Linked DNA regions of Saccharomyces cerevisiae S288C. The gene in region 1 interacts genetically with each later gene. Each region holds a gene or a part of one and is shown in the gene's direction. Other genes may lie near its edges. The genes, in order: RER1, RGP1, ICE2 and SYS1.

The links.
Region 2: mutations in RER1 (region 1) and RGP1 together harm fitness more than expected from each alone (negative genetic interaction), as found in Saccharomyces cerevisiae (4 studies listed by BioGRID).
Region 3: mutations in RER1 (region 1) and ICE2 together harm fitness more than expected from each alone (negative genetic interaction), as found in Saccharomyces cerevisiae (5 studies listed by BioGRID, with this or other methods).
Region 4: mutations in RER1 (region 1) and SYS1 together harm fitness more than expected from each alone (negative genetic interaction), as found in Saccharomyces cerevisiae (5 studies listed by BioGRID, with this or other methods).

The regions. Positions count from the first base shown.
Region 1 is NC_001135.5:108,640-115,881, forward strand, and holds RER1 (protein retrieval receptor), read left to right. Parts: upstream 1-3,276; coding exon 3,277-3,843; downstream 3,844-7,242. Other genes in the region: LDB16 (Ldb16p), read left to right, coding at 1-152; PGS1 (CDP-diacylglycerol--glycerol-3-phosphate 3-phosphatidyltransferase), read left to right, coding at 466-2,031; YCL002C (uncharacterized protein), read right to left, coding at 2,169-2,918, 2,995-3,036; YCL001W-A (uncharacterized protein), read left to right, coding at 4,441-4,902; YCL001W-B (uncharacterized protein), read left to right, coding at 5,131-5,385; YCR001W (uncharacterized protein), read left to right, coding at 7,046-7,242. UniProt on the Saccharomyces cerevisiae protein: Involved in the retrieval of endoplasmic reticulum membrane proteins from the early Golgi compartment. Required for correct localization of SEC12, SEC71 and SEC63 in the endoplasmic reticulum.
Region 2 is NC_001136.10:723,544-732,441, forward strand, and holds RGP1 (Rgp1p), read left to right. Parts: upstream 1-4,715; coding exon 4,716-6,707; downstream 6,708-8,898. Other genes in the region: ATP-binding cassette glutathione S-conjugate transporter YCF1, read right to left, coding at 1-4,008; HPR1 (Hpr1p), read left to right, coding at 7,035-8,898. UniProt on the Saccharomyces cerevisiae protein: The RIC1-RGP1 complex acts as a guanine nucleotide exchange factor (GEF), which activates YPT6 by exchanging bound GDP for free GTP. It is thereby required for efficient fusion of endosome-derived vesicles with the Golgi.
Region 3 is NC_001141.2:191,678-200,139, forward strand, and holds ICE2 (Ice2p), read left to right. Parts: upstream 1-1,917; coding exon 1,918-3,393; downstream 3,394-8,462. Other genes in the region: rRNA-binding ribosome biosynthesis protein UTP25, read right to left, coding at 1-1,518; YIL089W (uncharacterized protein), read left to right, coding at 3,922-4,539; AVT7 (Avt7p), read right to left, coding at 6,254-7,726; AIM19 (Aim19p), read right to left, coding at 7,969-8,442.
Region 4 is NC_001142.9:426,426-434,179, reverse strand, and holds SYS1 (Sys1p), read left to right. Parts: upstream 1-1,979; coding exon 1,980-2,591; downstream 2,592-7,754. Other genes in the region: dolichyl-diphosphooligosaccharide--protein glycotransferase subunit OST1, read left to right, coding at 1-959; COX16 (Cox16p), read right to left, coding at 1,180-1,536; CYR1 (adenylate cyclase), read right to left, coding at 2,943-7,754. UniProt on the Saccharomyces cerevisiae protein: Necessary for the targeting of ARL3 to the Golgi. Involved in protein trafficking. May serve as a receptor for acetylated ARL3.

The DNA.
Region 1 (7,242 bases):
CCACTGATATTTGGGATAGGTCTGACACTTACCAAAACTCATTCGTCACCAATGAAACTTTGATGTCTCTTTCTAATAGAGCTAAGCTTCGAAGAAATGCCAGTGATGCGGACATCGTTAATATAAAGATTTTACGAAGGAATTCTAGGTGATATTGCAATTACTTCTTCTCATGCACTAACAAGTGAATGATAGAAATATGTTGAGTTCCTAACTGCCTGATTTTAAATAAGTTTCATATTATAATCTTTTAGCATATATATATATATATTGATCCTCTCTCTTCTTTATTTTCTGCCAGTAACCCATGTGTGAAGAAGAAAACATAAATAAAAAAGCAGTAGCACATGGACACATTCACGCCCGAACACTCCTAAAAAGCAGCCCACACAAGAAAGTAGATATAATGTAGGACACCCAGCTTGTCCATAATTGCTAATAGCATACTCAGGATAACATATATTAATGACGACTCGTTTGCTCCAACTCACTCGTCCTCATTACAGATTATTATCCCTACCTCTCCAGAAACCCTTCAATATAAAAAGGCAGATGTCCGCTGCGAACCCTTCTCCATTTGGCAATTATTTGAACACGATCACTAAGTCCCTACAACAGAATTTACAAACATGCTTTCATTTCCAAGCAAAAGAAATCGATATAATCGAATCTCCATCTCAGTTTTACGATCTCTTGAAGACAAAAATACTTAATTCACAAAATAGAATATTCATTGCGTCTCTGTATTTAGGCAAAAGCGAGACTGAGTTGGTGGACTGCATATCCCAGGCATTGACCAAGAACCCCAAGTTGAAAGTTTCTTTTCTACTTGATGGCCTTCGAGGAACAAGAGAATTGCCTTCCGCCTGTTCCGCCACTTTATTATCGTCTTTAGTAGCCAAATATGGGTCAGAGAGAGTGGATTGCCGATTGTACAAGACGCCTGCTTATCATGGTTGGAAAAAAGTCTTGGTTCCCAAGAGATTTAATGAAGGTTTAGGCTTACAACATATGAAAATATATGGGTTTGATAACGAGGTCATTCTTTCGGGAGCCAACCTTTCGAACGACTATTTCACCAACAGACAAGATAGATACTATCTCTTTAAATCTCGAAACTTCTCCAACTATTATTTTAAATTACATCAACTCATAAGTTCCTTCAGTTATCAGATTATAAAGCCAATGGTGGATGGTAGCATCAACATCATTTGGCCAGATTCGAATCCTACTGTTGAACCGACGAAAAATAAAAGGCTGTTTTTAAGGGAAGCATCTCAATTACTAGATGGCTTTTTAAAGAGTTCTAAACAAAGCCTCCCGATTACTGCCGTGGGTCAATTCTCCACATTAGTTTACCCAATTTCTCAATTCACTCCACTTTTTCCCAAATATAATGACAAATCGACCGAAAAAAGAACAATATTGTCATTGCTTTCCACTATAACAAGCAATGCCATTTCTTGGACGTTCACTGCAGGATACTTCAATATTTTGCCAGACATCAAAGCAAAACTGCTGGCAACGCCGGTTGCTGAGGCAAATGTAATAACAGCTTCCCCCTTTGCAAACGGCTTTTACCAATCAAAGGGCGTCTCATCAAATTTACCTGGTGCTTACTTGTACCTGTCAAAAAAATTTCTACAAGATGTATGTAGGTACAGACAAGATCATGCTATTACATTAAGAGAATGGCAAAGAGGCGTAGTAAATAAGCCGAATGGTTGGTCATATCACGCAAAAGGTATTTGGCTTTCCGCTCGTGATAAAAATGATGCTAACAATTGGAAACCCTTTATCACGGTTATAGGATCTTCAAACTATACGAGAAGGGCGTATTCATTAGATTTGGAATCGAATGCTCTCATTATTACAAGAGATGAAGAGCTAAGAAAAAAAATGAAAGCAGAGTTAGATAATTTATTACAATATACAAAACCTGTAACTCTAGAAGACTTTCAATCAGACCCAGAAAGACATGTTGGCACTGGTGTAAAGATAGCTACCTCCATTTTGGGTAAAAAACTTTAGATTCTATTCTATCATAGTATGTCGCCTGTAAATATGGAAAAATAAAAGAAAAAATAGTAATAATAAATGCATTATCTAAAACTCCTTAAATTTGCAAACATCGCAAAGCCATTAAGGTAGAGAATGAGCTGACCTTGTTATAGTTTTCCTTTTGGCAACCGTGGTTTCCGTCCTACGTAAACATACTGAACTTGACAAAGTATGACCAATAAGGTGACAAATTGTATCAATTTTACCCAAAAGGGCGTTGAATTAAATGGTATCTCGTAAAACAATGCATTGGTCGGTATTACCAGTCTACCTAATAAATCGATAGATTCAGCCAAAAATGATATCAATGCAAACTTTGATGATAAACCTACTGTTGAGCATCCCATCCAGTTTATACTCATTTGAGGCACATACTTGAAACATTTAAGCAGATTTGCCATTACCCACAAATAATTTATGTGTTCCAAATAGAAAACGCCAAATTTACCTGAATTTTTCAACGGTAAATTAGAGATGGAACAGCCATATGTAAATATGCCTAATACAAGGAACACACTTATAATTATTATGGAAGTAATGGAAATGCCCTGATAAATATGTTTAGTTGACCTATAATAGTATAACTGCCTTAAAACCATCATGCAGCAACAGGAAACGCAAAAATCTTTTAGAATGAGGAAACTGGATATAGGTATACTACGGGCATCATTCAACGGATAAAAAAGTGGGAATCTTTGAGACAGTTGTTCCCTCACCAGAGATGAATAACAATAATGCAACGCGCAATACAAGTACAGACCATTACCAACAAAATCTAGCAGAAATAAATCATATGAAAGCCCGTAAATAGATCGATGAAGTTTATTATAGCGCTTTTGACATAGAATGGCGATGATCTATGTAAGAAATGGAAGTTTTCTCCCTTAGTTAGTCAAACCTTTCATGTATACTTTCTCCTTCAATTATGCATACTGATAAAAAACCTGCCAAGCCCTGCAGAACAATAACAAGCATGTGAATGATTCAATATAATTGCTTCGCAGGGCTCCTCAACCTCTCCTCTGGAAAACCTTACCTCAATGAGGTTAAAAATTGTGGGTTTTTCGTTCGCAGAGGAAAAAAAAACTTGTCAAAACACGCCTCTGCAGTAGAACACGAATTATACATAAGAAAAATAACGATACAAGAAAGGCGATTTCGATTTGGGACTAAGTGTTACACGAAAGGCATAGAGTATCAAAAAAAGGAAGCAAGATGGATTACGATAGCTCTGATACAATGAACGGTGGTTCAAGTAACCCCTTAATCACTAAGATGAATACAATGAAATTATTATATCAACACTATTTGGATAAAGTCACTCCTCACGCTAAGGAGAGGTGGGCTGTATTGGGTGGTTTGTTATGTTTGTTTATGGTTCGTATTACAATGGCCGAAGGCTGGTATGTGATTTGTTATGGTCTAGGTCTATTTTTATTGAATCAATTTTTAGCCTTTTTGACCCCAAAATTCGATATGTCCTTACAGCAAGATGAAGAAAACAACGAATTGGAAGCTGGAGAAAAATCAGAAGAATTCCGTCCATTCATCAGAAGATTACCAGAGTTCAAATTCTGGTATAACAGCATTAGAGCCACTGTCATTTCCCTCTTGTTGTCGCTATTTTCAATCTTCGATATTCCAGTATTTTGGCCCATCTTATTGATGTATTTCATATTATTGTTTTTTTTAACTATGAGAAGGCAGATTCAACATATGATAAAATATAGATATATACCCTTAGATATCGGTAAGAAGAAATATTCTCATTCTTCTAACTGATATACCCTGACTCCACATACCTATTCAACGAACACATTCGTATCTTAATTATATGTAAACAAAATTATATGATAGTTACAGAATAATTGTGATTATTTTCTCCTTCTACTCATCTTCTCTTATATTGGAAGAATACATGAAGTTATTGATTAAGCAAAATTGAAGGGAAGAGGCTCATTTTCTTCCATTTATAAATGGAGAGCTTGAGATGCCTCCAATTGATAAATTTTTGTAAAGACTTTCAAGAAACATGTCTAAAAAGAATTGACAGCTTCGAACCTTTCTGCATAATTACTAATACCAAATTAGTGAGAAATGGGGTATGTCGAGGAATAAAGGATGCAAAAGAGAGAGTAATGTCATGCAAGTTGTGAGTTTGAAATGTTCACACGTTTATAATGTCCATACTCCGTGGCGTGCATGTGTTTTAGTGTATTAGTTTTCCAAGTTATTAAAGAACTTAGTAAATTTATCATCGAACGCATTTTGATTAAGTGGCACAATAGACTTCAATGGAAAATGAAAATCATATCTGTAGCAAAAACGACAGCGAAGATAACGGTTACACAATTATCACGTTGATTCGTCAACTTAAAGATGACCTTTTTACAATTTATCAATAATAATAGACAAGAAGGACAAGGTTATATTTCAGAAAAATTATTCAAAACTAAGAAGAATGAGATGATAAGAAAAACAGTTACCAATTTAGTAGCTGTAAGATTAAAAAACTTATCCCACGAATTTGATGTAATAGAGAATTATCTGCGCTATATAGCTAGCACCAGTGAACATCTATTTACTGCTATTAAGCGCCACTTTAACAAATGTGCCAGAAAACTTTTGAAAGAAGCAATCGACTCCAAATCAAACTCAGAAACTGCTACGGTGGTTCTGCAAGAAGGATTTTCTGGCATTTGCTTATTGAAAGCGTCTTCAATTATATTAAAACTAAAATTGAAGTTTCCAAAAAAGAAAGATAGAACTGATATTAGCAAATTGTGTGACAAGAAAGAACGGATGACACAGTGGTTAGAAATTTCAATTTTGATGAACTGAGAATAATAATATTATGCTCCCCTGGATTTTATGCGAAGACACTGCTGAAAAAATTTCTGATATATGCAGAGAAGGAGCAAATAAGCCAGTTTTAAGGAACCGAGATAAGCTGTTTTCGCCCATTGTTCTAGTTCTACAAAATATCTACAGGGAATCGATGAGGTTGTAAGAAATCCTGAATACTCTATGATAGTGCATAACACTAAAAAGTTGAAAGAATCCCGTATCATGGACGATTTCCTTGAACATTTGAGCAAAGACGATAACAAAGCATGGTATGGCGCGGAAGAAACCGAGAGAGCTGCAAAATTAGATGCAATAGAAACACTACTTATTACAGATAGTGTACTAAAAAGGAACGACGTGAAAAAACGTGAAAAATACCTAGACCTAATAGAGAATAGTGGAAACAACAATGGCAAAATATTCGTACTCAGTACTTCAAAAATCACAGTGAGCAACTTGACAAACCAACAGATATAGGCTGTGTCTTAAAATATACCATCCAATACCTTGATGAACTTTTCAAAGATGACTAAAATAAGTGAAATTTCAACATTAACTTCGAATTTTTTTCTTTTTATCTAACACTTGTCAAACAGAATATAAGGATTACTTGTCTTCTTTGCTACATATTGCTACCACTTCTATTACACAATAGTTTCAATAGCTTGCAGCGTAGCTAAACTCTAAAATTTATCTAAATCACTCATATAAACCGAACCCTTCCCCTTCCGCTTATAGTACAGTACCTATACATTTCATAAACATGGCATGGCGATCAGCGCCAAACAATATGGAAAATCCACAGAAAGCTATTCATTGAAAAAATAGTACAAATAAGTCACATGATGATATTTGATTTTATTATATTTTTAAAAAAAGTAAAAAATAAAAAGTAGTTTATTTTTAAAAAATAAAATTTAAAATATTAGTGTATTTGATTTCCGAAAGTTAAAAAAGAAATAGTAAGAAATATATATTTCATTGAATGGATATATGAAACGTTTACTGGTGGAAGTTTTGCTCATATATTATTATTCAATAGAAGTAATAAAGAAAAAGTTGGTAAAGCAACTTAACAGTAAAAAGGTAATGATTGAAAAAGTTTTTGAACATCTAAGCTATATGTTGATGGGTTTACAATTTTACCATTAGTACTCATGCCTATACTTTTCTGTTCGTCCTTAATGTCCGCGATTTAGAGCAATCATTGAAAGTACTAGATACATTTTAGCCAGAGAGGACTCGTTGACGTAGAATTAAAATTCAAATGAATTTCCGCCCCATTCATATACCCCAAATAACAAACATATTAAAACTTCATAATTATTCAAAATGTGGAGTAGTATAGAAGAGCAGTACCTTCAAAATTGATTTCTTCAGTTTCCCACCCGGGATCCACTTGTCATGCGGTGAGAATCGTATATTGCGTATAATCCGTGTTTCATCACCCACATTATAGTACAAACCTACTGGTGTAACCATTATCATATTCATGACTTGTAGTTAAAAATCTTTCACGATAAATTGAGGAAAAAATCACGTTAAATAGTTTCATATCATTCTTTAGTTAAAGTCTGTGCATAAAAAGAGGATCGGGTGTTGTACTCGTTCTATCAAAATATTGTTATTGTTGCATTATCACACGAATTACAATCAATTTTTTTATCTACAGGCCAGAGTACCTGAAATAATGGAATTAGATTCAAAAAGGATAGCTTAATCGGTCTTTATACTAATTATTTTACGCCCAGAACGAAACATAACGTGCATTAAATCTCACTGTCACAACATTGTATATAATGGTAGCATCGTACTAACTATTGGCATTCATTCAATATTATACAATTATCTTATTAATACTTTCTCAAGTAGTCTTGAAGACCAGCATGTAGGAAGGTGATGATATGCTCCGTAAATAATTGGAAATATTGAGATATAATAACGATGACAATACTAACAAAAGTAATAGGTGAGCTCCGCCAATTGATTGTTTTGTTTTGAATATATATTGATGCTTAACAATTTAGTCGTCAAATAGCACCTGCAAAACCTACCTCTTACAGGCTTTTTTTCAATTTACTCCCCATGTGGGAGTTCTACGTAAACCACTTAGAATGCAGTTTCTCTTCTAAATAACATGTTATATCTTCTGAAGAAATTGAAACATATTGATTCTTATGGTGAGAGCAATTTATCAATGTTTTATCTTAAGTTCTACTGCCCTTGGAAATTATGTCCTTTGCTTCCCATTTTATATGGAAGAAACAAATCAGTACAAAATGCTTGGTCATGTCATAAGCTTCATCGATTTATTGACTTCCCAACTCCTTCGGC
Region 2 (8,898 bases), on another chromosome or scaffold:
GGCAATGTTGTCGATTACGATGTTTCCCTCGCTAGCCTCAATCATCCTGAATAATGCTAGCGTTAATGAGGATTTTCCCGCACCCGTTCTACCCACGATACCAACTTTTTCATTTGGTTTAATGTGTATATTAATGTGCTTCAGAACAAGATCAAGCTCCGGCCTATAACGAGTGGAATAATTATTAAACTTTATATCACCCTGGCTCGGCCATTCTTTGGGTGGTCTGTGGCCTTCAACTATTAAAGGTGCCTCGCTCTTCAAATCAGCATATTCCTTTATTCTTTCCACTGAAACAATATTCGTTTCAACTTCCACAGTCATTCTAACAATCCAATTTAACGTTTGAGTGATTTGTAAAGCATAGCTTAATGATAAACCCACCATACCTGCCGTTAATGTGCCTTGTTTTAGTCTAAAAACGGATAAAGTTGCAGCACCTAGAATGATAATTGAACCAATAAGTTCCAACCTATATGCTAGCCAACGGTTAGCATTGATAGAGGGATAGAACGCACTCATGTTATTATCAATGCGGCATTGATTAATGTGGGAAAACCTTTTCTGTTGAGAATAACCTCTAACCGTTGCAAGGCCACCCAAAGTCTCTTGGAAATGAGAGTAGATTGGAGACCTAGTAATAGAGTCTAAACGACGCAACTCCCTTGATGTTCTCAGGTAATACTGCTGGTAGTAGATGTAAAACACACTTAGTGGAATGATAATGAAGATAAATTGCCATGTCGTCGCACAGATAACCGTAATAGTGAATGTGACTTTCACTGCATTGACGAAAAACTGAGAAAATGTTCTTCCTAATAAAGCATCCACTTTGTATATGTCATTTGAGAATCTGTTTAGAATTCTACCGATTGGTGTTGTTTCAAAAAACGTCATTGGGGCTCTCAACACAGAGTTTGTCATCAAGTTGTGTAAATATTTGGAGGCATGAATGGTACAAAAAACCCAGAGAACGATTGTCTGGATTAATGTTGCCAGTGCTGAACCAATACCAAGTGCAAAATAAATGGCCAAGTAACGCGCGGCATTTGGATTAGATCCATAGCGGCTATTAACTTCAGACCAATGTTTCAACCAAACGTTACCCATAACAGAGAGGAACATCGATATAACAATAAACAATATGAATACACAAACGCTTTTCGGGTTGCAAGCTTTAGCGTACTCTAGGTAAATGTTCCACTTTACTTTTCCCTGTTCACGATGCTCTCTTTTAGCAATATTTTCATCGTCACCAAAATCGATGCTTCCCAAAGTTGCATCACTGGCCCTCCTTAAACTTATGGCGTCAGAGTTGCCAAAATCCAAATCATTTAATTTCTGCAGTTGTTCCAGCTCTCCTTCTACAGGTATACTACTTTCTCGAACTGAGCTTTCAGAGGAGTCACCGAATTCATTCGACTTACCGTTATTTTTTTTACCATAGTTGTTGAGCAATTTCCATAATGGCGAATCAGCGTCCTTCGTAATCTCATCATATGTACCCTGCTGTGTGATTTCTCCATTATCTAATAATGCAATAGAATCTGCGATGGATAACGCGCTCACCTTATTAGTGGCTAATACCTTCGTTTTTGTATGTAATAAACCATTTGGACCCAACACATGTTCGATCAAGTGCCTGGCAACGTGTTCATCAACAGCTGCCAAAGGATCATCAAGTAAATAAGTGTCAGCTCTCGCATAAACTGCTCTTGCTAAAGACAAACGAGCTTTTTGTCCTCCAGATAAGGAGATCCCTTTCTCGCCAACTAATGTCTTATCTCCATCCATCAAAATTGCAAGATCAATAGTTAACGCACAGGCCTTGATCGTTTTTTCGTAAAATTCCGCGTCGTATCTATGCCCAAATAAAATGTTTTCCTTTACAGTACCATTCATTATCCATGGAACTTGTGAAACATAAGCAACAGAACCATGAACGGTGGCGAAACCTTTAACCCTGAATAGATCACCTAACATGCATGACAATAGAGCTGTTTTACCACTGCCAACTTTACCAACAATACAGGTCAAATTTCCTTTTTTAGCTTGGAAATTAATATTCTTTAAGGCTACTTTGTATTCCGGTTTCCGTTGCCATAAAAAGGTAGCATCATCTCCAATGTTAATGGCTACATCGCCAATATTTTTTACTTTTGGTAAACGCTGAACCGAATCTGGTTGTAGCTCTTCATTGGTAAAGAATGTAAATAATCTACCAATAGAAACAGAAGCTTCGATAAAAGAATTTAAAACCATAGGAATAATCATTAGTGGGAATGAGAGCAGGTTGAACAGAGTCAAAGCAGGGAAAACTAAGTCAGTAGTCAATGCTCTATCCTCAGTATAAACAAATACAGCAAAGGTACAACATGAAACAAGGAATGGTACTATATTGAACTGAAAACTTGTCACAGCCATATAACATCCTAGTTTTGTAAGATTTTTTAACTCTTTGTTATTTCTTACTTCTTCTAGCTTTTCCCTATAAGGCTTCTCCCATGCATATAACTTCAAAGATTTAATATTGTTTAGTATTTCACTTATAACACGGGTCCTTTCATCTTTGTACTTCATCTGGGATTTTTGCAACTTCTTTTGTATCCTCATCAAAAATGAGTTCAATGGCATCATAATAACTAGTATAATCACGCCAACCCACATGGAATTTCCCAACAACTTATACAGAGAATATAAGCAAATAATGATTTGAAAAGGCCCTGACCATATTAAATTTAGCCATTGTGTTAAATCTTGTAATTTTTGAACATCCACACTCATGAGATTGACAATGTCACCGGTAGAGGAAAGTCCAGAAGCCTCATTAGATAGCACTAAGGATTTTTGATATATTAAAGCCGTTAGGGCGCTCTTAATATACATGCCTGTGTTGAAGACATTCAGGAAATATTGATGCAGGACAGATGTCTGAGTAAAGCCCACCAGAAACATAGCAAACGCAATCAAAAACCCTCTTACAATGGGTAATTTTTGTGGGTGGTTATTTTCAAACCCTTGAAGAGAAGAATGGTCATCCTGTCTCTCACTGTTATAGTCTGTGACGAACTTGATTAAAATCCTTAGTAGTTGTGGTTGAGTAAATGCTAGAACATCATGAATTGCTTTAAAGAATGCGGCTAAAAGCATTTTAGATCCAAAAGTTCTGCATATAGCCCATGATAATGAAGGATTTGATTTTTGCTTCAACTCATTTTCCCAGTTTTTCTCCAATTTTTGAGAGAGTTCTTCACTACTAAAGTTCCTCGGTAATTTATATAAATCTGCTTCCACTAAGTATTTTTCATAGCCAGTTTTCATCAAACCTGACATCCAAGAGAAGGTAATCCTGGAAAATATGTTTGCGCTATCGTATGGATTTGGTTTTCTTCTTGTTAAAGTTTGATGTATGTGTTGATGTGGCATTAGCGGCTTCTTTGGAAGAGCTTCAAGTAACAGGATACTGGCACATGTTATTACTTGGAATAACGTTAGTATGAAACCCGTTTGTCCGGAATACCAAATGCCTTCGTAGGTGTGTCTAATTAGAATATTTATTAGTTTAGCAAAATTACCGAATGTTTCAAAAAGCCAATAGAATAAAAGTACCGTATTGGCTACAACTGATCTATCGTATTCTATCCAGTGTAAGGCTAAAGCAACAAATAAAGATAACATTGTAGAAGCATATTGACTTACAATGGTAAAGTTTTCCGCTTCTTCTTTAGAAATATTTAAAGACGCAAGTGAAACAAACGCTATCTCCAACAGAACTAGTGCCATCCTAGAGACAATAATCCAATTCCGCCTATATTTGATGCCAGAGTGTTTTTTCTTGCAAAGGTTAACTAAATCTCTGATACCGAAGGTTATCATGAAAATTGCTGATAGATTTAGGATCACACCGTCGATGAAGCATTGAGTAAAGTCACCGTAAAAGGATATAGGTCCAAACCCTTCAGGAGATCTACAGAGCTTGCAGGCCCATGAAACAAGATTACCAGCCATTTTCTTGTTCTTTACGGTAGTACGATACCCCTAATTTATTCTCAAACTGTTAATTGAAAAATTGTAGGTTGTAAACCAGCTTCCACATAGCAGATGATCACAAGAGGTTATCGCACCTTTTATAGCAGCTGCTAACTTTTTTCATCAATTTCGTAATTACTAAGCCGTAACCTTCCACCGCCCAAGCATCACACCAGGAGTTACATATTTTTGTATTATCATAAAGAAACACACGCCAAGATATCTACAGAAACCAGATGTTAGCATTAGATATATATATTCGTATTGATGCAGCATAACAAGCGTACTATGGATTGCAAAGTAATGTAGATTCCTGACCAGTAGATCTGCTCGCGCAAGAGAAACATTCATGAACTCTAACGACAATAACAGTAAATCCACCTCACGGAGAACGATAAAAGTCTTCATTTCTCCATGAGGTGGAAACGTTGTTTGAATATTAAACATAATACTTGAACTTCTTGTGTAATTTTTATTTTTTAATCGAAGTCTACTCCGAAGTCTCCTATAAAGCGTAAGGCGCGTCTCCAAAGTGCTATTTTTCAAGATCAATTCAGCTTCAAAGAAGCTTTGATACCTACGGGGCAATGCAAAGGCTGCCAGTCGAAACAAACAGCGAAAGCTAGCCCATAATTTCTTGAGCTGTTGATTTTGATTGTGATATTTTTCATACTTTAGAAGAAGATATGCGTGCGCACAGAATCGATACATTTCTCATAAGAGAAAACATCAAACTGGAGATCATACATGAATCGAATTCCTATTTTGGTGGAGAACATATATCAATTGCTTTCCGATTTAAGCACCTAGGCTCACAGCATGAATTGTTCAACTATAAAGAAAAGCTTCTCACTGTCGATAAAGCTGTTGAAGAGAAGTTGGAACAACAAGCGAAAGTGCAAGATGATGGTGAAGGCACGATGGAAAATCAAACCTGGTCCCTAAAATCATTACTAGGTGCCTTCAAAAGAACAGGCGAACCTGAAGAGAGTGTGGATGTGGATAACATGAAAATGCTAAATGAGAGTAAGATGTTAAGAGAAAAAATACAGAAGCAAATGTATTTTCATCAACCTGTAACGTTAATATCCGGTTATGTTCAAATATCGGGGGTCTTTCAATACGATTCAGAGGTAATTTCAGAGTCAAAATTTAAACAAGATGAAGTAAAAATGGTAGGACTAGATATTGTACCTGGACATACGACAAATTCTGTTCTTGCATTGGAAGATGGAGAACATTTCAAAGGTAAAAGAAATTTAACCAACTACCTCAACTCAGATTATACAAATGTGACCAATGGTCTTCTTTTCTCAGAAAGCGGTTCTAGGGGAAGAACAGGTACCTATAACGAACGGACCTTAATGATATCAAACGATACCAGTATAAAAACATTACCTCTTCTTTTAATACCACAGACGCTTTTATTTTCTGAAATTTCTTTAGAACCAGGTGAAGTAAGAACATTCTATTTTAAATCCACAAAGCTGCCAAAAGATATATGCCCAAGTTATTCATCGTCAAAAGTGGCATCAATAAATTACACGCTGGAGGTTGGTGCGGATGTACTTTCTGATGATAATATCGAGAAATTTTCAAATAGAGTCCCAATAACAATAGCACCATATATTAGTTCGAATGCCGAACAGTACACATCACGTCTGGATAAGCCTGCTATCATATTAAAGACAGGTAACATAAAGGAACTAAAGCCACGTTTGTTTACTCGAAAAGTTTCTACGGCTTCTGCTGTATCATTTGGTAGGAGAAAATCTTCTATAATTGACATTGATTCTCCATTAGAAGATAATGAATTTGTCAAGCGTGTCAAAAAAAACTTCATTGAACTGGTGGAATCTAACCAAAATGTGTCAAGAGATATAGACGAACTTATTGACTTGCAAATGGGGGTACAGTTCGGAAAGGATGAGGATTCTTCGGATCCTGAACCCAACGACTCACACTTTTCGAACGAAATGGTGACGTCTGCAGAGTCTAGCCTGAGAAGCGATGCTGTAACTAAGAGGAGAAAAAGTTATTCGGTACGCGATAACATTTCTAACCTCGAGCAAAAGATGTGGAACGATTGTTCTCTCGTTAAGTCAGATGAGAATTCTAATCTTCTACCTCAGCTAATTAATTTACAGAACGCATATCAAATTAACAGAAATAATGAGACTATGGCAAAAGTATCCTTATCAGCACCTTTTTATAAGACAACTGATGATATAAATTTAGTCATTGAATTAGATCCGATAACGACGCCTTTACTTAAAGTGACTTCGTTGACTGTATCCTTAGAATCGTTTGAAATTATAAATCCAAAATATAAGACTGAAGGAAAAGGAATAGGGAGCAAACCAAAAGGAAACTCGGTGTATGAGAAACATTTTATTTGTTTCGATGAGTGCAAGTCCGTATCGGTGAAATTACTTCCTCCAAGATCGCCTACAAACCAGATTACCGGACAATTCAAGACAGATGTTTTTCAACATAAGTGGATGATAGGACTAAAATTTGTAATAATTGCAAAGACAGAAAGTATCACTTTGGATCAATTTTATGAGGATAAAAAGGGCATCCTATTCCATTCAAAAGAGAATTTAGAAGGTGAAGAGTTTACATGTTACGTTCCCATTCCAATACTGTGTACATCCGAAGATTTCATGGGATGGTAAGCAATAAATGGGTGCAGTTTACTCGTATAATTGGTTTTGCATTTGAATCCAATCCAGTAAAGAGGATTTACTATACTCTCTTCATAAAGGGTATGTACAGATACATTTATAAGTTAGTTAACCGGCTTTATTGTCGTAATAGTCATCTCTTGATGTCATGGGTTGCTGTCCGTGCGATTTCAAGACTGCTCATTTCGCACGATGCATATTGCTTCTCTAATGACATTTTTCGTTAGAATGATCAGGTTTTTGCCATAGCTTGATCAGTAAATTAATAGATGATTTTAACAATTCAAGAGGCATTAAAACTTGGGCAAAGGAGTAATAATGTCTAATACCGAGGAATTGATCCAAAACTCAATAGGTTTTCTCCAGAAAACTTTTAAAGCACTCCCAGTTTCGTTTGACTCCATTCGACATGAACCACTTCCATCTTCAATGTTGCATGCAAGTGTTCTCAATTTTGAATGGGAACCGCTCGAAAAAAATATTTCGGCAATTCATGATAGAGATTCTTTGATTGACATTATACTTAAAAGATTCATTATAGATTCAATGACAAATGCTATTGAAGACGAAGAAGAAAATAATCTTGAAAAAGGGTTACTAAATTCGTGTATAGGTCTCGATTTTGTGTATAACTCAAGATTTAATAGATCTAATCCAGCTAGCTGGGGAAATACCTTTTTCGAGTTATTTTCCACCATCATTGATTTGCTAAACTCACCATCTACGTTTTTGAAGTTTTGGCCCTATGCTGAATCACGTATCGAATGGTTCAAAATGAATACATCTGTTGAGCCAGTATCATTGGGGGAGAGCAATTTGATTAGTTACAAACAGCCTTTATACGAAAAGCTGCGCCACTGGAACGATATTTTAGCTAAATTAGAGAATAATGACATCCTTAATACCGTCAAACATTATAATATGAAATACAAACTAGAGAACTTTTTATCCGAGCTACTACCTATAAATGAAGAATCGAACTTCAATAGATCCGCTTCTATTTCAGCTTTACAAGAATCTGATAACGAATGGAACAGATCAGCACGTGAACGAGAAAGCAACCGCAGTTCCGACGTTATATTTGCTGCAGATTATAACTTCGTGTTTTATCATCTAATTATTTGCCCGATCGAATTTGCTTTTAGCGATTTAGAATATAAAAATGATGTGGACAGATCATTAAGTCCCCTTCTTGATGCAATCTTGGAAATCGAAGAGAACTTTTACAGCAAAATCAAGATGAACAATAGGACTAGATATTCCTTAGAGGAAGCTCTGAACACTGAGTATTACGCGAATTACGATGTTATGACCCCTAAATTACCCGTGTATATGAAGCATTCAAACGCAATGAAAATGGACAGGAATGAATTTTGGGCGAATCTACAGAATATTAAAGAATCAGATGACTACACTCTTCGACCTACCATTATGGATATCTCTTTGAGCAATACGACCTGCCTTTATAAACAATTGACTCAAGAGGACGATGATTACTACCGCAAACAGTTCATTTTACAACTATGTTTCACAACAAATCTTATACGCAATTTAATTTCTTCTGATGAAACGAGGAATTTCTATAAAAGCTGCTATTTGAGGGAAAACCCGTTGAGCGATATTGATTTTGAGAACCTTGATGAAGTTAACAAAAAGCGTGGGCTCAATTTATGTTCATACATTTGCGACAATCGTGTTTTGAAATTTTATAAAATTAAAGACCCTGACTTTTATCGTGTTATCCGCAAATTAATGTCTTCTGACGAAAAGTTTACAACCGCCAAGATCGATGGCTTTAAAGAATTCCAAAACTTCAGAATATCTAAGGAGAAGATACCGCCACCCGCTTTTGACGAAACTTTTAAAAAGTTTACGTTCATCAAGATGGGGAATAAATTGATTAATAATGTTTGGAAAATACCTACTGGTCTAGATAAAATTGAGCAAGAAGTAAAGAAGCCTGAAGGTGTCTATGAAGCAGCCCAAGCGAAATGGGAATCAAAAATTTCTTCTGAAACTTCCGGTGGAGAAGCGAAAGATGAAATAATCAGACAATGGCAAACTTTACGGTTTCTAAGATCGCGATACTTGTTCGATTTTGATAAAGTTAACGAAAAGACTGGTGTTGATGGTTTGTTCGAGGAACCCAGAAAAGTGGAAGCGTTGGATGATAGTTTCAAAG
Region 3 (8,462 bases), on another chromosome or scaffold:
ATTGATTAATGAATTAGCCGCTGGCGAGATGTATTTTGTGAATACCATTGTCTGTCTGAAGAGCTTAGCTTGTTCATTAATGTACCACATCCGAATTCTGCTAAAGTCAGCTTCATGTTGTTGATCCGGGATTTTGTTAAGATGGTCAAAGATGGTGAAAATATGAGATATGTTCTGGTATTCTATTGAATGTAATTGATCAATCACCATCAACTCTATTGAGGACAAAAAATCGTCCTGCCTCTTTTTTTTATCTGTATTTTCTAAGATCATTTGAATACCCAATGGCGAACATACAATAATGTCAGACTGGTAAAAATTGCTATAAAGTTTTATAGCCTTTCTTGTGAATTTGAGACCGACAACAAAAAAATCGTTGGTGTTCCCCCTAAATATGTGTTGGAAAGATTTTGGTTTGGACTTTGGAGGTAAGGAGTCGTCACGGAATTGGTCGTAGAACTTTCCCTTCTTGTCAACCTGATCTATACCAGATTTTGAAATTATCTTATCTACAACGCGGTACGCCACCTCTCTAGTAGGGACTACAATTAACACTTTTGGTCTTGTAAAACCTTGATCTAGGTGTTCAGTGTCTGGGTTATCCTGTAATCTTTGATTATTTTTCAAGATTCTATCTCTTGTCTTGTAGATGTGATTCAAAACATGCAAAGCATATAAATCTCTGTACTCGTCTTCGTCCTTTTCGTAGGAGTCATACTCGTATAATATGTCTTTATACTGAAACATGGGGTCTACTAATTTTTTTTGCAAAGCAGTCAATGGATCAGTTTTTTTATCCAATAGTCCATTTTGCACTTTTAGCCTTTGTTTCAAAAAGTATGAATATATAGATGATGACCTGTACGGACTTTCCACCAATGCTTCCTCACCAATTACTACCGGTTTAGCATATATATATGATTCACTGTCACTTAGTGAGCCCTTTACGGATTTGTATTTTACACTTTTGGTCTTGAAAGCATTCGACAACTTATCAACGAATTTCTCCGGAACTTGGTTGAAATGAGACTCGAAAGGATCTTGCTCATCTTCACTGTCTATATCTTTTTCGTCTCCACTGCTGTCATCGTCGTTATCATCCTCGTGATTACCCAAAAGGCCATTCTCTATCTCCAATTGATCATCCACTGGTCCATGTTCTGTATTTTCGTGCTCATCCTCCCCAACTTCGGCAGGAGCTTTGTTACTCTCGTCAGCCTCTCGCCTTCTTCTTTTTGGCTCTGGATGTTCAGATTTGAGAATCGTCAATAAAGCGTCATAAACTTTTTCCTTTTTACCCTCTTCATCCTCAATATCGAAATCATCGCCACTGTCGACATCGGACACTTCATCCTCATCGGATCTATGGTCAATATCTTCTGCTACGTCCTCTAATGTTTCTGTGCTTCCGCCTTCAGTTCTGGCAGAAGATCTTTTAATCTTCCTCAGTTCTTGTCTTCCTCTTTTCCGATAGCCACGGAAATTATCATTCTTTTCCCTCACAGAACTGTCACTCATTACAATTTGGTCACTTCGCAATTATACCACCGTCTCACTGAACCAATGCAGTTTATTCCCTGTATTATATTATTGCAAAATATGCGATGAGCTAAATTATAGTAGTATTGCGAAGGAAAAATTTTTCAGATCATGGTACACGAGGAATCGCATCAGCTTGAAGCGAAGCAAGGGACTGGAGCGGTTACTGGTTTCGGAGAGATGATTGATGAGAAGATGAACATAGGTAAAGGATCGAGGTGTAGTGATACTGGAAGGGCTGTGCGTAAAGTGTTGGTGGATCTTATAGTATTCGTGAAGCTTCTTTTTCCGTTTTGCTCCCCTCAGCCCATCGCGTAATTGCTTAGATCTATTAGAGAGGTGCTGTTTGTGGCCGATCACGCTAAAGATTAGGCAACGATGACCAGTTTGTCCAAAAGCTTCATGCAGAGTGGACGAATCTGCGCAGCATGTTTCTATCTGTTATTCACACTACTTTCAATTCCAATCTCGTTTAAAGTTGGTGGTTTGGAATGCGGGCTTTCCTTCACGGTGACACTGTTCACTTTATATTTCATAACTACGACTCTTAACGTGTTGGCAAGACGACATGGAGGAAGACTATACATTTTTTTTACCAACTGTCTGTATTACTCACAACATTTTATCATTGCATCTTTGCTATACCTGTTTTTGTCTGGATTTTCTAATGATGAGTTGGGAAACGTTCTGAAAAATAAATATAATGAGTCGGAGTCGTTCCTGGAAGCTTTGAAAAATAGCTTGAATTCCAATCAAATTAACTACGTCTTATATTATTACTACTATCGATTTGTTGTACAACCGTGGCAATTCGTGCTTACCAAGTCCACACCTTTTTTTACTCTATCGGAAGGTTTTTTCACTATTTTAGCCATTCAGGCCGTCGGGGAAACTAATAGATGGTTATCAAATGACTTGAATTCAAACACGTGGATTATTTCCTCATTGTTAACCTCCGGAGGTGTGATTACCGCATCGCTGTACTATTTGTATCGGATTTATGTCACCCCCATATGGCCGTTATCCATCCAAACGGCGTCCTTATTAGGACTTGTTTTGTCTATGGTATGTGGACTGGGGTTGTATGGTATTGTGAGTCAAAAAGGATCCGTCATAGAGAGCTCTTTATTTTTTGCGTATATTGTTCGTTGTATTTATGAAATTTCCCCCAAATTAGCTACTACCGCGACTGATGAAATTTTAAATTTGTTCAAAGACGTCTGGCAGAAACATCAAAGAAATCTGCCCACAGCTGACAATCTTTTGTGCTACTTTCATAATGTCATATTGAAAAATGCAGAGGTGTTATGGGGGTCCTTTATTCCTAGAGGAAGAAAGAAAACCGGTGATTTTCATGATAAACTCATTAGCATTCTATCATTCGAAAAAGTATCCTTGATATCTAAACCATTTTGGAAATTTTTCAAGAATTTCACCTTTAGTGTTCCGCTATCCATTAATGAATTTTGTCAAGTTACAATTAAGATGGCAAGCGAATCAGTTTCCCCAGCTATAGTAATCAATTTATGCTTTAGAGTTCTGATGTTTTACTCGGCAACGAGGATTATTCCAGCATTACAAAGAAAAAATGACAAACAGTTGCGCAAGAGTCGCAGGATCATGAAGGGATTGTATTGGTACAGTCCTTGCATATTAATTGCTATGTATACTCACCTGATTTTACAATATTCAGGTGAGCTAAAGAAAGACCTGTGCATATGGGGTTGCAGTGAAAAGTGGTTTGGCGTAGATCAACCAGAAATTATAGTAGATTCATGGGGATTTTGGAACTGGTGCAACATTTTCTGTACTATTTTGGTATACGCTACAGAATTAATAGGTTCTGGTAGTTGAAGCTGATGCATTGTCAAAAGAGCCGCATTACCAGCTTTGCCAAATACGCGAAGACAAAAAGGAAGGTGAAATACCAACTGACTTATAACTAAGTGATAGATGATATCTGTTTTAAGTGCCATTCCTGAACCATTTTTACATTTGGTTAGTTTCTTTTTTTGTTATTATTTGCATTAGTCCCTTGCACGTTCATAGTGAAAATCCCTTACGCTCACCACTATTTTCTAATAAATACAATGAACATTTTAACTCATACTCTAATATGTAGACACATAAATATATAAATATATAACATTTCCCTGAAATACTACTTTTATTACGTGGTAGATTTTAACCTGAAGCCGATGCAGATTATTCTAGATAATTTTATTTCGGTTTTTTTTTTTCTGTTTTGCTAATTTCCAAGAACCCTTTTTCTTCTCTTATCACAACGATAAGAGGTACTTAAGATGATCTTCATCCTTGGATTATTATTCTTTCCCTCTTAGAAAAGTGAATAATGAGAAGAATCCATTCTTAAATTTGGGAATGCAACGTACGAGGGAATTGGAATCGAGTGTCGCAATAGACCAAACTGAAGTACCCCGATCTAGATTTTTTATAATGGTTAAAAAATTATCAAGAGTTGCCGATATCGTCTATATAGTTGACACATTTCTAATTCCGCCATTGCATCCTTTAAAGAAGCAGCATCCAAAAGTTGCAAAGTTTTTGAAGGTACAACTTGTCTTTGATTTGATATCACTGTTTATTTTTGCTACGCACCAACTCCTACTGCTAGAAGATGGTAACTTTGGGAAGCACTACTTCAAAAGGAAAACAAAACGGTGCTCGAAATTTTCGTGCTCTCGCTGTAATGCAAACGCTCACCACCCCAAGTGGTTCAAATTCAAACATTCACTCCTATGTCTAGGAACGTTCTGTTTTGGGGTTTATTCGTTGGTAAAGATTAATAAGTTCTTTAAAACTGATCAGACTGTTGATCTAAACAGACTCTTAGAGCTATTCTTTTGGCAACTTAATGCAATTCTTAATATGAAGTTATTCGCCTTTTACGGGGACCATTTAGAATCACATAGTGCGCCTCTTGATGTGTATGAGGATTCTTTTGCAAACAAATCATCGTCAGGCGGTGACGAGGTTTAACAACTGTAGTTTTTTCGATAGTATCTTGAATCTGGATAGCATTTAATTGCGATTGAAACAAAAATGGACTACTGCACACTGTCTAGCGTTCGATATTTTCGTGCCATTATCACATATGATCTTCGGAAAATGAAGCAGATTATAACATCGGCTGAATTGATTAAAAATGTTAATAGTCTCCGGAAGCTGATGCGTAAAGATTAACATTGTAGTGGGAGAGTGGGTGACAGGGTATAAAAACGCAGAGAGAAATAATTATTAAGAACGATATGAATTACTGACGTTTTTTAATTTCGTGTTTAGAAACACAGGTGAATCTTCAAATAATAATGTAAATTGCATTTTTTTAAAAGCAAATCTATGGATATATTGGGTATACTGTAAGTTCTCCTCGATAGTACAGAAAACCATAACAGAACATATAATTATATGTAATTGTTGATAATTAGAGGTTAAAAATTAGTATTAATGAAGAAGTGAGTACTGATCTTCTTATACTAAATAAGAGAGGTATATAAAACACACGCCGATTGGTCATATTAATTATGACCAATATAATAGTGATTCCGGTAGTTACTATACATTGATGTGACGACTCATATTCCTCATATATGTACCTACCATAACATGTTCAACTAATAGGTCTTTAACACAGCTTCAGTATTGTCTGAGCTTCTCGTTTAACATTCCTTCTGCAATAGGCGCAATCACACTTAAACGTATACGAGTTGTACATTAATATACGATGTAAGCATTAGATTGTTACCATAGCAACTCATGTCACTATTAATTACTCTCGTTCCAACAGTAATTACCGTGGTTATTAATACGGCTTGCTTATTTGTTCCCAGTTGTCAATGAACAGTAATTGAAAGGCAGTAATAATTAGGGATAAATACTGTATATTCTTATGGTATATAAGAGAGAAATGGGTGAATTTTGAGATAATTGTTGGGATTCCATTGTTGATAAAGGCTATAATATTATGTATACAGTATATATACTAGAAGTTTTCCTCGAGGATTTAGGAATCCTCAAAATGGAATCTGTATTTCTACATACTAATATTAAGATTATTCCTCATTCCGTTTTATTCCTTATTCCGTTTTATATGTTTCATTATCCTATTACATTATCAATCCTTGCATTTCAGCTTCCTCCAACTTCAATGACAGCTTCTCATAACTTGCGTCACCATTTAACACCGTATATGATAATATATTGATAGTGTAACTACTAGTTGATAGATGATGGTTGATTTTTACTCCAACAGGTTTTTATTCCTACAATTTTCCGGACATATATATATAAATAAAGATCATTCATATTTACTGATATGGTAACATGTTTTTCTATTCAAATCAAGCTAATCAAATCCGATGTAGTGTAACGGCTATCACATCACGTTCTCACCGTGGAGACCGGGGTTCGACTCCCCGCTTCGGAGTTATTTTTTATTCTTTTTTTTTTAGGGACTATTTAGGCAGTATTTTTACCACTAAAGCGCATGAAGTCACATTCTCTGAGCCTGCTCCATTTTTTCAGGGATCTTTATTGTTTAGCAGGGTAATACCTTTTTGTAAGTGCCATAGAATAAAGTATTAAACTAGTCGATGATCGCGTTAAGCATAAAACTTTGAGTCTGCTGTCTCTGATTCTATTTACTATTTACTATATACTGTTTTATACTTCTCTTGCATGACTATTGGTCCATTTAGGCTTCATCTGAACGGTTGAATACAGTTACATACAATGACAAAAACATCACAGATAGTCCGTAGAAGACTAGCAATAAGCTGCACCTTTTGTAAAATCTATCTTTTGGTGGAATCATCTTCCCAATAGCCAAAGAATCCAAGCCTATTAATTTGTAACCTAATAATCCAGGTAAAGTGAATGAAATAGACGTTGAACCTGTAGCCCCTACAAATGAAAGAACCAGTGCAAATGACTGGACAGACAACGCCAAGGTATACATGCTTATTAGTAATAATGCAGTAATCCAGTAAAATCTAGACTTAACAAATGGCGCATGATGCTCGTTATCCCCGGCGACCGCCATAGTCCCTCTTTCATCATTATTGTTCTCTTGACTTTCAATTGAACCATTATCAAAGTTCCCGTTAGGTAGTAAACATTCTTGCTCGTTATAAGAAGTTGCGTCTAGTGCATCACTGGGCTGGGCTGGATCTTCCACAGTCATGCTAATTGGTCTTAGGTTGGAAGCACGAGTGTATTCCGAAACTTGTGGGTCCTCTTCGGGATTTGCCCCACCATAAGTGATCTCAATCCAGATGATGACATTGTTAACTGCTATGCGCAGCGGATGAAAGAGAAGCGGGAAGGAAAGAATTAACATTGAGCCAAGACAGAATTTGCCAATTACTATCCAAATTGAGTTAGGATCGTAGTTCAACATTAAATTACCCAAGGTTTCATTACCGAAGGTTAAATATCCTGATAAACCAACGATCAAAAATAGTGCTGTTGATAAGGATATCGAATTATTGATAACGAAAGTGATATTTTCCATGCTGTTGTCTTTTAATTCATTTATCATGGGGAATAGGTTCATTGATCCCGTAAAAGCAAAAATTATAATGCTAAAAGTTGATAATAATCCTTTAAAGTCGTGAATTTTCCACCAGCATATGTCATTTCTTAATATATTTGTTAATTCACCCTTTCCCAGCTCAAACACAAAATGACTGAACACCAGAATTGATATGTATGCTAGCGCGAAAAGACCTAGAATACTAGAATACTTCAATTGATCTAGTTTCTTCACTAAACATAGGGGAATGATGATTACAGCTGATGCAATTATCCAATAATTTCTTTCACCACCAAACAGTCCTGGAAAGAGATCACCAATAAGAACTAAGTAACTTAAGCCCACACCAAAGCATTGAACTATCATTGCCAAATCAAAAATTGGGGCCAAAGTGGGATAGGTGAGCATGCATAATGTGAAGAAAGAAGAGTTTCTTGGATTAATTAAGGTCTTGGAACATTTCGATAGCACAAAGAGACCCAGACCGGATGTTACCGCCGCCAATAATGTAAGAATAACCCCTACCAGAACACCATCGCTTTTAAAACTGTACGGAATGGCAAGTGTACCAGCGCCAACTATTGTCTTAACGAGATTCGCCGTAGACGAAAGAGCACTTGATGTAGCCTCCATACCTTAGAATTCCTTTTCTCTTTGATGCTATGTCCTGATTGTAGAATTCGCCTTTCCGTTGACGCTTGTTCTTGGCGTCTTATCTATTTGAGGGTCAAATCTGACTTCGGATGAAGAAGTTATGAACGTATGATAAGAGGTGAAAGATGTGGAAGCAAATCCATTCATGTTAAGTCACGTGGTTCATACAGATAATACAGAGGATACAAAATTAAATATTAAGACATTAATAGATGTAAGCATCACTGGAATCCGGTAGCAAGGAACCGTTGGCCATAAAGGACTGCGTTGGCCAATGAAACCGAGGATAGCACCAACGGCCAAGTTCTTCCATATCTTAACGCACTAAAGGACTTCTTGCCCCCTACAATCAAATATAAGGCGGACCATGTAGCAATGAAGCCAGCCCCATTTTCCAAGTCGTTGTCATAGATCATGTATGCACCTATAGCTTGCATTGTAGAAAAGAAAAGGGCGGTTTTAGTAGTTATACCGATTCTGGCAGTAGAAGATTTAGAGAATACCCTAGACATTGGTATCGAGAGGGCAGGAGATTGCGTTGGAGGCACTTTAAAGCTTGGGGATAGCACCGGAGTGGATGCTAATAGTGCTGCGTTTGCGAGCGCAGGATAAGGTGTCCTTGTCAATGCATATAGCCGGCGAAATGGTGATAGAAGTTCATCTTTGGCATCGTCAGTAGCGGGTTTAGCAGACATTTCTTGTGTGTTAAGTATAT
Region 4 (7,754 bases), on another chromosome or scaffold:
GGGAAACGAACAGATTGCCGCTTTCTGCTTACGATACCAAGAAGGCCTCTTTTACGCTGATTGGTAGCTCATCATTTGAGGAGTACCACCCCCCAAATGACGAGAGTTTACTGGGAAAAGCTAATGGAAACTCTTTTGAGTTTGGGCCTTGGGAAGATATTCCGAGATTTTCTTCAAACGAAACCTTAGCAATTGTTTATTCCCACAATGCCCCATTGAATCAGGTAGTGAATTTGAGAAGAGATATTTGGCTTTCTCATTGGGCTTCCACAATACAATTTGAGGAATATTATGAATTAACAAACAAAGCCGCAAAACTGTCTAAAGGATTTTCAAGATTAGAATTAATGAAACAGATTCAAACTCAGAATATGAGACAAACTCACTTTGTTACTGTCTTAGACATGCTCCTGCCTGAGGGAGCTACTGATCATTATTTCACTGATTTGGTTGGCCTTGTTTCCACGTCGCATGCAGAACGTGACCATTTCTTTATAAGACCAAGATTCCCAATCTTTGGAGGTTGGAACTACAATTTTACTGTCGGTTGGACTAATAAATTGTCCGATTTCTTGCATGTATCCTCTGGCTCAGACGAGAAATTCGTTGCTTCTATCCCAATTCTAAACGGCCCACCGGACACTGTATATGATAATGTTGAATTATCGGTATTTCTTCCGGAAGGGGCCGAAATATTCGATATTGATTCTCCAGTCCCTTTTACAAATGTTTCTATAGAAACCCAGAAATCATACTTTGACCTAAATAAAGGTCACGTTAAATTAACTTTCAGTTACAGAAATTTGATTAGTCAAGTTGCCAATGGCCAAGTCTTGATAAAGTACGACTACCCGAAAAGCTCTTTTTTCAAGAAGCCTCTGTCTATTGCTTGCTATATTTTCACCGCACTAATGGGAGTTTTTGTCTTAAAAACTTTGAACATGAACGTAACTAACTGAGTTCACGTTTGAATGATATATACCTTATGATGCAGAGCAATAAATTCAGTATTTAATTTTTTATAAGTTTTATAGATAAGAATTTTCCAATGAATAAAGGTATTTACAATCATTTCCTAGACATTCTCGTGGTCTTTTCTTTGCACAATCAATGGTCATAGTTTTTTTTGTTTAGTAGTTTAAGGACAGAAGAATAACAAAGATGTTCACGTTTTGAATGTTACCAGACATTCTCAGATTCATCCTTTAACCTAGCGACGCGCACAGGCTCCCAATCCTCTTCAGAAAGACCTTGTAAACGATAATATTCTTCTTTAATATCAAATTCCCTTTGATTCTTCCTTATTTTCAAGATATCCTCTTCATTAATTTCCTGAACTTTACGATCGCCTTGCTCGTACTTGATCGCTGTAAAGCTTGACAACCAAAACGAACCCAATACTATTGTTGCACAAAATGGTAAACCAAAAAAAAGAAAGGGGTGCTTACTCAATGCTTTTTTGTATCGCCCCGCTAAAGATGCTTCATATACTAGCTGCTGTCTTCTAGACCTAAATTTTTTTCCGCTGAACGACATTTAGGAGACAAATTCTGGTAATATTTCAGTTGTTGACTAATATATATAGTGGTTTTTGCCAAAATTAAAGACTTCCTTTTATTAACTAGGTGACCAGATATAAGGAAGTGTATTTGCTTTCTAATAACTTGTGTACGGCCATAACCCGGCTTTTAATCAGTTTATTTAACAAGGTATACAAATCGCCAAACGTAACAAGAGATAGGCGCTATTATTCATTTAATATTGTCGTATTCAAAATACTAACGGTGAACAATTTGCTCCATTGTAACACTATAGGACAAGGCTAATCATGAATAAATATCTCCCCACCCAAAATATTCGTAGCTCGCGATATTCACGGTAATATTCTGTAACTTCATGTTAAGAGATGATCTTTAGGAAGGCTAAGGAAGGGTACACATAGAAGTGAGATAAAAAATAGGCATTTGAATTACTGTAACATGGTTTCGATAAGAAGGTATTTGCGAGTGCCGAATGAGTTGAAACCTTCCCAGATCTTCAAACAAGATTCTCTCTCTCCAAGTAAGATTGGACTTCAAATTGTTCTTTTACAGATTTTTTATTACACCACAGCGATCGTTCTTTTTTATTGTTGGGCGAAGCTAGCGGGATATGATCTCAATATCAAGGAATGGCTGTTTTCTTGGGAGAATATCGACTTTACGAACGCATACGGTTTATCAATCTCACTGTTATGGCTTCTGGATTCATTAATATGTGTTTTTTTCTTAACTGTTATCGTTGGACGGAGTAAACTCGCATGGGATTTTGCTATCACTATACATGCCATCAATTTTATTGTGGTGTTCCTCTATACTCGGAAATTTCCTTCTTTTTCTTGGTTTTTTCTTCAAATTTTATCATCTTTAATACTAATATTTTTGGGGACATGGACAACAAGATGGAGAGAGCTTAGAGACACCTTTTTTGAGGGCTTGGTTGATCCTAATGAAGGAGAAGTTGGATTGGTTACGCCTAGTCAGCAGCATAGTAATCATTCAGAATTGGAGCAATCACCAATACAACTAAAAGACTTAGAAAGCCAAATATGAGAGGAGATGAAACAACATATTCGAGGCAATTTTGGCAATATTATAGTCATTCAAGAGAAAACAGTAAATGTATGAAAAATGGCAAGAACCTTATCTCTATAGGCTTAATAAATCTGCCTTTTTGGCCAATTTTTCAAAACAGATCCTATTTCTTATTTATACACAATCTATATTTAACATAATTAAGTACGTGATGACATTGAAGATAATAATAAGTAAAGAGTTTACGTACTTAAATTTTATATAGTTTTAGTATACTTGCAATGTGTGAATGGATCTAGTAAGCTGAGGTACTTCTCTAGCGTGAATATGAAACGAGTAACAGGGTGGTACATAATTTACGAACAGAACTCAAGTTGATAAATCCTTTGCGTTCTTAACCATTTGTAAAAGTTCGTCAACAACATTGAAAATATTGCTTCGAGCAGATGTTTTATCGTTTCTGCAAATTTCCAGTCCTGAACACCTCTGTTGTCGTAAATGTAATAATGCCACACTGGATTCGATTCTAGTAATTACATGATCAAAAAATAACAACGCATCCTTCTCAGAAATCGATTGCATAATACCATTTTCAACTTTAGGGTTAAATTTAATATAACTTCCCTCCGTCCGAGAGTCTAGTTCAATAAATCCGCCGCTTAAAGCTGACATTATAGATTCCAGTCTGTTTGAAATGACTCTTAAACGAAACAACATCGTTTCATTGATTAATTTTGACTGCTCATCTTCAGATGCAAATTCGTGTCTGGAAGCAAGAATCTTAGGATACGCAATAGTAACGAGTTCTTTGGTTTCGAGTCCCTTTAGCTTATGCTCGCCAAAGTCAAAAAATGCCCAACCAATACTTTCCAGCATGGCAATTTCTCTTTCAAGAACCTCTCCGATAATTTCTTCACCATAAACTTCCTTGAGAGATTCCTTGCCCTTCACTACTCGCTCATGATACTTCATTATCTTGTTGAATTCAGAGTAAAAATCACTACTCATTGCAATCTGACCACCGTCAGCGACGCCCTGGACCCTTGCTGCCTTATTGACCATCGGCCCCAAATAGTCCATTCTTTGAGTCACTAAATCAAGCTCTGGAACTGGGCAGCCCCAATGAATACCCATTCTAACTGATAGGCCTTGATAGATAATGTTACCATTTCTATCCGTAACTTGGCAGCCGTCTTGAACTGAGGTAATTTCCTCCGGCCATTGTGCATCCAAGAGTTTTAATTGAACACTTAAGCACCATGTCAGACCACTAGTTGGCGTAGGAAATGCCACCATAAAGGCGTCTCCTTCTGTCTTTACTTCGTAACCACCGTAAATTCGTAGTTGACGACGCATAATGTCATTGTGAGTTTTTATTGCGGTCCTCATTGCGTTAGGGAATAGCTCCCATAAGAAGGTTGAGCTTTTGATATCAGTGAAGACCATTGCTAGGTTACCTGTTGGCGGAGAAATCTCAGGTTGAAGTCTTCTTAATGTAGTATCCTCGAAAGTACTTCTTCTAGTCATTAAAGAGTTTTTATTTAAAGTGAACCGATTTTGTTGCTGAATGTTCTCGTAAAGAGCAAGGCACAAAATTGTAATATTCTCTGTACAGCCGTAAGCCATGGCATGATCCTTCAACTCAGCTGCGGCACGGAGTGGATCAGTACTATTCTCACGCGCGATATCACAAACTGTATCCACGTCCATGTATTCCCATAACTTATGCGTTGCTACAATAAGCATCTCGTCTGCTTTTGTTAATGTCACGACAGATATGTCGGGAGAAGCATGAATGTGGGGAAGCAAATCAAAAAAACCCACTGCTCTAGACACATCTACAACACCATCTAATTTTCCATTGTTGACATACCCGCCAGATATTCTGATCCTCTCGTATTCTTCCCGCTTTGTTGGGAGATGTTGTTTGGTTAGCGTTTGGTAGTCACCATTGTTTTTGGATAAAATAGCCATACAGTCACCTAAATTTGCAGCGAAGAGTTTCTTCCCTCTGATATATATCACAGTAGAGCAAGCGCCACTTAGCAAGTCTGCATATGAAAGATTGGCAACATCGGCACCATTATCAACAGAATTTAGCATTCCGTTAATCTCCTTATTCAGTTGCAAAAAACTGAAACGAAGTGCAGTTTTTATATTATCATCTGTTTCGTCTCCATACCTTTCCAGTTGTCTGATCAGTATTTTATCGTAAATATCTCTAACAATTCTTGATATATTGTGGCCATAATCTGCATTTTGGTTTTTACTATCATGAAGACATAGTAAGCATTCGTCGTCATTTCCGCGGAATCTTTCAAAGGTAACATCACGAGATGACACATAGTCTCTTTGACCTAATGTATCAGCAACACCGTAGCGCATCCCATTTATTATTGATGCAGTTGTCCTTAAACGGAAATTGACATTTTCATCCGGTACTTTGGTAGTATTTAAAGTTACGTCCATTAAACCTAGTACCTTTAACTGAGGTAATACTGTCAGATCTGACAAATCAGCATCAATATCGTGACTTATAAATGACTTTATTTCAAACCTTCGATTTCCTGAAAAATTCAAATATTTTAGTTCTTTATTATTCCTCCAGTTCCAATCGTAATGATAGTTTGATATATTATACTTTAATTGATTTGCTCCAACATCAAATACACTTAGCTGTGAGAGATTTGATAATTCTGCAGGCAGAGATAACATTTGGTTACTATTCAACATTAAAGTCTTTAAAGAGCTCCATTTCAAAACTGTATCACCCGACAATGTCGTGAGCTTATTACCGGAGAGGTACAATTCGGTAATGCTCTCAAGTTTCATGTGCGATACATCTGAAAAATTGTTGTAAGAAAGATTTAGCACTTTCAGATTGACAAAGCAATTGAAAAGAGGCCACATAGCATCATCAAATTGATTGTCTGCAGCAATAAAAAACATCAGGCTTTTAGATAACTTTGACCCATATGACATGTTATGGTAAAAAGAATTTTCTAAGCTAGAGTTACCGAATGCATTCGATGAAATATTTAGCGATGTTAGTTCAAGGTTTTCCATACCGTCAACAAAGTCCCTTATGTTGTTAGAATGTAGATCTAATGTCCTCAAACTTTTCAGTTGAGATAGCTCGGGTGGAATATACTCTAGTTTGTTTCTCGCCACTGAAAGGAAAACTAATTTAGTCAACTTGGATATCTCCTGTGGCAGTCTAGTCAAATTATTCTGATTAAGTTCAAGTTTCTCGAGGAAAGATAGTTTGGTGAGTAATTCTCCAGGAATACTCGATAACTGTGCCTTGTTCAACGTCAAACTTGTCATGTTTTTTGGATAAAAATCTTTGAAGGATATAGAAGTGATTGGATTCTCTTGAATTTCAAGGGCTCTTAGTTTCGGCAAAGTGTCTTCAAAGTTCGAAATTCTATTATCTGTTAAAAAAAGGTTCTGCAAGTTAGACGCATTTGTCTTAATTGATGATATTCTGTTATATCTTAGGTTCAGCGTCCTCAAATCTGTCATTTCCGATAAGTCGCCTATAAAATTTAGTTTGTTATGAGAAAGGTTCATCTTCGCAAGCTTTACTAGGTACTTAGTGGACTGTGGTAAGCTTTGGATTTTATTATATGATAGGTCTATTTGTAAAAGATTGGTGCAGTAGTTAATAACTTCTGGGTAGTGCATGAACTTGTTTGAAGACAAGTCTAGCAATTGCAGATTTTTCAGTTCAACAAATCCAGCCGGTAGGCTTTCAAGCTCATTACATTGAAGGTTTAATATCGTTAAATTACTCAGTTTCATGATTGAGTTCGGTACTTTTCTTATGAAGTTTCTCTGTAATTCCAAAGATACTAGTTTATACGCCTTAGTGATATTGGAAGGAAATTTAGATGCTCTAATATTAACCATTCTCAAACTTAATAATTTAATCGAGCTTTCAATGAACTCCAGAGGTAGGAATATATTTGCGTTATTAGAAACGTCTAAACTTTCTATTTCTGACGTATGCTGGTAAAAAATGATGGGAGGTGTAGTCAGATCCATATTCCTTAAATCTACGTGAACAAATTCGCTTCTCATTATTCTTTGTTCTTGTTCAGGAGTAAAGTGAGAAGGTGTGACAGGATGGAAAAGAAACTTAAAAACAAAACTTAAATCCTCTATACCCATAATATGAAGTGGGTCTGACTTTCGATAACCATTCAAAAGTAAAAGTTTTCTTTCAATTAAAATAGGTTTCGAAGTTGGTCTCAAAATTTTTGACAACTTTCCCACCTTCAGGGAAATTTGAAAATTCCCTTGCGCTGTAATGTTAAATTTTCTTTTAAGTGCAGGTATTATCTCTTCGACGGTAGTCGCTGGAGTACATGAGAGAGTCGTAAAAGTGTCATCAGTATTGAATATACGAATAGCATAGTGCCTCTTTGGATCTAAATCACTGAAATCTTTATAGTAATGTTCCAGTTGGCACTCGACCTCATCGTCCTTCTCATCTTGTAGTAATAATCCAGAACTCTGGGCACCATCTGGTGAATTCATATTTACCGAAGAGGATGTAAATTTCTTGGTATACGATTTCGTTTTATTCAGGATCGGTGTTTTATTATCCTGCTCTCGGTTGGCCTCCATATACGCGTTAGTGTACGAAGAGGAATCGCTGCAGGAAGATGTATCTTCTGAACTAATAGATGAGGACGGTAAAGATGAGGAAGTGGAAGACGTGTCGTAGTCCCCATCTAAATTTGATGGAGCATATCGTATACTTGGGGGACTCATAGCCAAATTACTTTTTAAGCGGTTCACAGATTTAGTATCGAGTGCGGTCTTGCTATCATTCGGAACGTTTTCTTTACATATATCAACAAAACTTGAGTTACTGTCACCCGCAGTGACCATTGATTCGTTATCCTTTCGATCGTGATGATGACGAGAGTCTTTTTTTGAAGGTGGCCCCGGTGACATGGGATCAAGTTCATCAGCATCTATACTTGACCTTCTTGATTTCGATCTCCCTTTAGGTTTTGTTTTTTTCCTTTTGGTTTCCACATCCCAGCTTTGAGGTGCTACCCATTGTGATCTATCATTGGAAGTTGATGTGAATTCACCATTAGGTGCTGCGGCAGCGACGGAGAGATCAGCCATTGACACCGACTTCCTAGGACCTTCAGGCATGATCAC